Arabidopsis thaliana: one gene and its partner. The protein of the gene in region 2 purifies or fractionates together with the protein of the main gene of each other region. This does not show direct contact. Each region holds a gene or a part of one and is shown on either strand. Other genes may lie near its edges.

Region 1 (3,930 bases), on a different chromosome or scaffold from region 2:
TGATCTTCAAAGTAACATTCTGATTTCAAAGATTTATAAAGTTTGGAATTAGACCGACTTAACTAGACAATGGTTCTATGATCCGTCGATGAATTTTATGCACTTACAATTTGTCTTAACAATGACATTAATCAAGGATGAGATGCTTTCGATGTAAAAAGTTGGGCAAAACTCTCTGTAACCGAGAGGGTACAATAGTGTACATCAAATAGTAATTAATGAAAAAACAAAGACATTAGTAAAGTTTAAGAAAGAAAAACTTATTTTTACTGTATTAGATAGTGCACAAGCAAGCTCTCAATGGTCTTTAACTTACATCAACACAAATTAAAAGGAACAATTGCATTACGCCATTACCGCAGGCTCAATAGTTCTCCAGAGCAAGATCATGACCGCATATTTTAGGGTAAAAAAGAAGAAGCATATTCCTACAAGCAACTCTGGACCAGTCATACAATCTTCATCATCTAAATCAAAGACCTTCACGGTAGAAAAATCAGAACCCAACACTCTCAGGGGTTAACCTCCATAAACATACTAAAAGATCACTGATCACCACCAACATTGATCAGTTCATACTCAACGAGAGACAGATTGTTATCCTCCTTGACAGTGAAAGACGCGGCTCCAGTGGCTTCGATGCGTCCCCATTTATCAACTCCTAGCCTCATTGTACCCTTGAACATGTCTATCCTTGAATTGCGCAGTATCACCGTAGCACCCGGCTTCATAAGATCAACTATACACACACACACACACACAAAAAAAACCAATAACATCATTAGAGCTAATCAGTAGCCACATCAATTGCACGAAAACTGGTATAACAAAACTTCACATTATGAAAAGCTATGAAAGTTTTGGGATAATGTAGACCATTCAATTGAACATAACTCAACATCTAACCAAGCAAGTTTCATCATCACTATAGGTAAGACTATACAGAGTTACAGACCCTCAAGGCCAAGATTCTTTCAAGCTTCAATTTCACAAAGACATCACTAAATACACATACAATAACTGATACATCATTTACCAAATAGTACTAATAGAAACACATTTACCATTTGCTCAAAATAGAAATTGATTAAGACAAACGAGAGAACAACAAAGGATAAGACTTATCACTCTAATAAACTACGAAGACACCATTTCTATATCCATAAAGCAAGAGAAAAGTGGAGAAACAATAACCTTGATCGTTACGAGCAGTGAAGAGGATACACCCAGTTTCGTCACCGATGAGACACTCAACGATTCGACTAGGCTGAGAAGGACGACTCAGAGAACTCGCTGGACGAGTCTTCCGGGTAACAGGAACCACGATATTAGCCTCAATGACTTTAACAGTCAACGTGTGACCAGTCGTTCCAGGCTTTAGCTGTTCCACCTTCACAAACACCGGTTTTCTCTTCACCGTCGAAGTTCCCGTCGCAACCGCAGCAGTTCCAGTCGTCGCCATCGCTTCAAATTACAATACCCAGATTTCGCGTTCGCCCTAATTTGGTGGAATCGATAAAACTTTTGGAGAAGAGAAATGGGAATTTAGGGTTTATAAAGAAAAGACGACGATGTGCTCTCTCCCAAGACGGACGAGAGTTTTTATCACCTGCTTCTCACAGTTTCATGAGCTTGTCACGTGTCAATTTATTATTTGATATTAATGACTGCTCTTTATTTATTATTACGTAAATGTGAAATATTATTACACAGGTGGATACTGAAAAGACACTAGTGACTAGACTAATAAAGCTTCTTTGGTGCTTTGGTTTCTGCAACTAGCACCAACGCTTGCTCTTCTTCTGCTGACCGCGGTGAAGTTGACTTATCCTCCGGCGATTTTTGTTGCTCCGGGTGAGTTTTTTCTTGTTGCTTCTTCTCCTCCTCATCCTCGGAATCTAACTGTAGATTCTGTCGTCTGTATCTGATTACTACTACTATGATAAACACTGCAATAAAACGGGTCTTGAGAGAAGTTAGATTCCAGAATGCAGTAACTGCAGAGCCTGCTACGAATTTCTTGTGTGTGCAAACTCCCCAAGCTTCAACAAATCTCCTTTGTGCACACTCAACTACACATAAGCAAAGATCAAAGAATCCTTAGTGTCAATCATTGGAACCATCAAAGAGCTACGCAGTCTGTTAATAGAGTTTACCTTTTTGGTTAAGCTGACTTGCGTAACATGAATATAGCTTTGGAATAGTGAAGCTAAGGAAGAAACCTGTTTAAAGAAACAATGCATACTCTGTGTCAATTCTACTAGATACAACTAAAGAAAACAGTTTAGCTTTCTTTGGAGTAATGTTGACATATAGTGTTTCAACAATCATACCAAAAGCACATAATCTCCACAATGTTATGAGGTAACCATACTCAGCTCCCATTAGAACAAAAGGTGCCACCTGAAATCAAAGTAAAAACAGTGTAAGAAGGACAAAATCAACGTGAGAGTCACATTCATTGGAGAGAAGTTTTATGAGAATGGCAAAGTTTTGTAAATTCTACTTTGAGTGTCATTGCTGGTTCACCAGAGAAAAGCTCACTCGTCTTTGAAATTGCTAAATTGGTGATGGGAAGCATTCGTCTAGCTATTCGTAATACATCATCTTCACTCAATTTAAGCTCTCTCCGCGCTTCTTCAGTAACCCTTTATGGTAACAAATGGATCAAAACTTCAGTCAACTGCAGTTCAAGCTGATATTTATGTACTGGGACCTTAAAAGTTTGTACCTTTGGCGAAGAGTATTTGACAAGAACGATACCCCAAGAAACAAAAGTCCAAGATAGGAGATCGCTGAGAAAACACTTCAAACCACACAAAGTTTCATTATCAACTCATGAATGTGAAAAATGATTAAAGCTAGAAAGATAAACCTTGACAGAGAAATCAATGTTACCTAAAGTTAAATCCTTTAGCAGCAAAGCAAGTAGATAGGAAACATATACAGCCAAAACCAAACCAAAGTGTTGATTTCGCAACATCTCTCCACATAATCAAATCGCTTATATTCTCTCTAATCCGCTCTAAATCACCTTGACAAACATCTTGAGCTGAATTACACAAATCATTGAGCAATTATTAGAGCACGAAAGTGAAATCGAATGAGCTAATAGACAGAGGAAGGACATACGTTGATCTGAAGATGGACTAGGAGAAGCTAACAGAGGAACAGAACTGTGCTTCTCCTTCTTAGATCGACCCAACTTCTTCTGTTTCCTCTGGTTTTGTTTCTTTTCATCGGTCACGACAACAATTGGCTCCGTATTTTCCTTTGTATCTACCATCGCCTCCGACCTTAGTCTCGACCTCCGGAAATTCCTCGGCGACGGCGAGGCCAAAAGACCATTTTGCCCTCCCTTCGTCTTACTCCGTCGTGCCGTCACAGCAGCCTCCGCAGCTTCCATATCGAACCGATTGCTTAAACGGGTTCTCGATTTACGAAGAGGGGAAGGAGATAAAAGGAGAATCTCACGAAGAGTAACAGGAGAAGATGGTGAACTGAGAGAAACAGGTGATGGGTAAGGAGTACCGTTGTTGTTCTTCGGAGACAATAAAACCAAATCGAGAGATGGAATGTGAGATTTTACGAGAGTTTTGTTGTTTCGAGCTAGACGCAAAGCGGATCTAGTATTCGAACGGAGAGAAGGAGGTGTGGTAGTAGAGTCCATTGTATGAGAAAGTTTTTTTTGGGAAAAAGAGAGAACTTTTTTCGAATCTGAAGTGATTAAATGAGAGGAATCTCTGGGAATTTATTAGGGTTCTTGAAGATGTGATTTGGGGATTCTTAATTCCGACAATTTGAGCTCTCTGCTTTTTCTCCGGCTACTGTGGATCAGAGAGCCGTTGATGAAGAAAGAAAGTAAAAGACAAATCTTTTGCATTTTTTAAATTTGACGGCGGCAAAGTGGGTCCGTCTCTTTTAACGGTA
Region 2 (3,930 bases):
TAACGAAATGAAATTTGAAATTTTTATTGAAATGAAAAACCACTTAAATTGTAAGAAAATAGAGACTCACGGGTTCTCTTTTATTTCCACACAAATTACAAATATATAACAATGTCTAATATCTAAATTTCAAAGATTTTTGGCATTTTTCGACCAAACAATAAGAAGTTAGCCTCAAAATGAATTGCAAAAATATAATTTTGAAATGAAACATGCATACAAACTTTGAAACAAAACATGCAAAATTGGTTATATAAATTTGATAATAAATTGCAAAATATTTTCTTACTATATACGATATTAGATATATATAATATGTGAAGAAGATTTACCTTAGCGTTGAAGTGGAAACGGTCGACGCCATTCCAATTATCAAGATCATAAGCAGTGTAATGTTTGCAACATGCGGCGACTTTAAGGCGGTTACCGGCAGCAGTACCCTGAAGTCCCCGGACGTAGCTGGCGGCATATTTTGCGGCAACGATAGGATCTTCTCCGGGAGTTTCTTGGCCTCGGCCCCACCGCGGGTCCCTCAAGATATTCACATTCGGACTCCAATATGTCAGACCGGCCACGCCACCATTGTACATAGCTCTTGCCTCATCAGACACCACCTTTTATTCATTTTAAATCATGTCAATATTAAGATATTCTCCACACACCTTTGCTTTTGTTGAAAGAAATAAATATACTTGATATATAAACCATATGTTAAAAAGTATTCTCTTATATTCACTGGTTATAGCTAGCTTGCCCATCATCATATTAACTATGGAAGTATCGTGGATATCAGTACAGCATATATACACACTAAGTAATTTATCAAAAACATTACAAAATAAAAGTTTGGTAGTACCCATATAAATTTATATATTGGTTTTGCATTTGATGTCTAAAGGAAAATATTATCGGTTTTTGGATTTTTTCTAACTTACGTTTCGGACTTATTTGATAGACTCATGTCGTAGTCAGATATAATTCAAATGAAAATCATAATATTCAAGATTTATAATTTTATAAAAAAAAAAAATATAGAGCGTCCCACTACAAACTCTACTGTATGACTTCTAGTCTTCTACAATGTCCATTTCAATGTCGTTTTTTCACGTAGAAAAATCATAAATTTTATATTCTCTTCCTTTTTTTAAAAATGTATTTTAAAGCATAATATTCTTAAATTATTCTCACCCGTCCGATCTCTTCCCATAGAGACTGGTTGAAAGAAGCTGCGGTGGTGATGACCTGAGGGAAGCTGGTGGCACCGGGAAAAGCACCACCGAACTTAGCGCCTGGACCAACGTCGGAAATGCCGTGGAGAGCCTCGGACCACCACTCATAGCCTCCAATACCGAGACGTGGTACGGCGGCAGCATTGTTGACGAGGTTGCGGATCTTCTCCTGCAACGTGAGCCTTCCGAGCAAATCTTGAACTCTCACATGGATCGGTACATTGGCCCGACAGAACCGGAGCGTCCGGGTTAACCCGTTTGCTGGATCACATGCAAACAGTGGTCGAAGTGACTCTGACGAGTGAACCAAACATAAGAGGAATACAAGTATAACGACGACTTTGTTGCCGATCAATAGTGCTTTATTATAACAAGACATTTTTATATATCTGTGTTTTGTGTATGTGTGTTTGTAACTATATGTGTGTATACATGTGATGTTTGTGTTTTTTAGTTTTCATGTGATAGAAAGTGAATGATGGTATTTATAGAGATCTTTTCGGCGAAAATTGATGACAAAGGATAAGAGACTCTTGTTATGAACATAAAATAAGATAGAGATAAAACGATCTAGCTGGACAGGTTACGAAAATGAGATATCTCAAAAGAAAAAGAAAAAACTTTTTTTGTTGAAAACATTTAAAAAATTAATAGTTTGTTTTCCCTTTTTCAAAAGCGTCAGTTTGTTTTTCCTTTCTTCAACATTATTTTTACGTTTTCTCAGTACGATCACATTTGTCAATATAAAGACTCAAGCAACACCAGTGATGATGATTATTTGAAGCGCACAACGTCTAATTATAATTTTATCGTAACTTATATATAAATATGCTGGTTATGCAAAGAATCGTTCATTATAATATTTTTAAAATGGTCTTCGATAAAATGAAAAATTCGGTAGCAACTATGTTCGATAGATCTATTACAGAGAAAAAACAATGGCTAATTTTAAGATAAATGTGAGTGAAATAAATATTTTTTTTTATTTATAAAGAAAATACATATAACTGTTGTGACTATTTATCATGAAGGTTTTAATGTGTTTCCTCAATTTTAATGTGCTACAAATAACATAAATATATCAGTAATATTAACTAATCAACACATCAATCAACCTGTTAAACTTTTTCAACGTTAAAGACTCATTTGTCGTTAATTTTTTTTCAACGTTAAAGACTCATTTGTTGTTAATTATATATCGTTGAAACCACCTACCGTAGCCTCCAGTCATGTCCATGCTTGGACTCGTGCCCCACCGCCGCCACTACATCCGCATAATCCCTAACGCTAGTTAAAAAATGTTATAATCTTAGCTCTTTTGTTTTAATGGACTTACTATTACATTTAATTAAACCATAACTCACTCTTTGCATGCCATTATACAGCTAACAAACTACTTCAATTTTGTAAGTTCTGACATTTTATACTAATTTACTAATTCCTTGTTCAAACATTTTAACAATTTTATATTAATATGTTTGCAGATATATTATTGATCAGATTATACAACAATTTTTTCATACAAAACATTTGGGGCCTTGGGGAGTACACTTTTGTAATCAAAAGTTTCTTATAATCTAGACAAAAATATTTAGTTGGTGGAATTTTAAAATTAAGTTTGGTGGCATGTAAGAGTATTTACACATGAACCACTTCATGTCCGTTTAGTATAGTTGAAAGATTTATTATGGACTTAGACATTGGATCCCTCCAACTGTATTTTTAGTCATGAATGAGAATTATAAACGTTTGATATGGCAAAAATACACGTTTTATGCAAATTTTGAAGACTATTCTTGATTTCAGTCCTCTTTATTAGCATACATATATTTTGTAAGTAATTTTATGCACATATGGTTAGATCAATGTATAGGCATGGGAAAAAACCACGCGAACAAGGTCGTGGTCAGACGAGGCAATGACACTATGAGCAAATAAATAACCCATAAATAAACAGAGAGAAGTATATTTAGTTTATCAATTAGAATATCTATATAGAAACATTTACAGATTTAGTTATAAAGAAATTCAAAAATGAAACGTAAGACCTAATAAAGCTGTGAGACAGACAGAGAAGGTTGTCACGGGTCTCGAGCATCGATCGACTCTTTACCAAATTGGCCAATAATAAGCATCTAGTCATGTTGCCCATACTTCTTTATTTATTTTCCTAATTGTTATTTGATTTATTGGTCTTCTTTATTATAAGTTTCTAACAGATCAGCTTATTGTTAGAGATATTCATCAATTATTAAATAATTGACCCATCAACATAACGACGCTCGTTTTCTTTTGTTTCGGGTATAGATACTTGTGGTCTAATACAACCAAATATTGCTTCTGTAATGAAAACACTAGAACGAATTATTATTATTATTATAAGTATAAACCTGCTTGTAATTACTTTTCTCGTTCGAGTTATACTGGATACGAAAGTTTATGTAAATAGAAAGATTTCAATTCCTTCTAACAACTTCTCATATATTCGTTGACAACGAATGACTATATACCATTCTGTCATTGACAAAGTTTTGACCGTTAACGGTAAACTGATGGATAGTTATAACCAAAGTTCTCGTTTTACCTAATTAAAGACAAAAGAACAAATTGCACAAGGTAAGGTTGATGCAAACAAAAGCCAAAACATAAAGCTACGGGAGAAAAAAAAGAAGACTTGTGAATATATAACGTAAAATAGGAA

The links.
Region 1: the proteins of BXL1 (region 2) and AT4G28440 fractionate together in Arabidopsis thaliana (co-fractionation; one large-scale study listed by BioGRID). This does not show direct contact.

The regions. Positions count from the first base shown.
Region 1 is NC_003075.7:14,057,586-14,061,515, reverse strand, and holds AT4G28440 (Nucleic acid-binding, OB-fold-like protein), read right to left. Parts: upstream 1,621-3,930; 5' UTR 1,463-1,620; coding exon 1,195-1,462; intron 740-1,194; coding exon 546-739; 3' UTR 130-545; downstream 1-129. Other genes in the region: AT4G28430 (Reticulon family protein), read right to left, coding at 1,744-2,072, 2,157-2,222, 2,334-2,403, 2,507-2,648, 2,732-2,806, 2,899-3,052, 3,133-3,670.
Region 2 is NC_003076.8:20,015,052-20,018,981, forward strand, and holds the start of BXL1 (beta-xylosidase 1), read right to left. Parts: upstream 1,807-3,930; 5' UTR 1,609-1,806; coding exon 1,189-1,608; intron 615-1,188; coding exon 333-614; intron 1-332. UniProt on the Arabidopsis thaliana protein: Involved in pectic arabinan modification in mucilage secretory cells. Also acts as a beta-D-xylosidase during the remodeling of xylans in vascular development.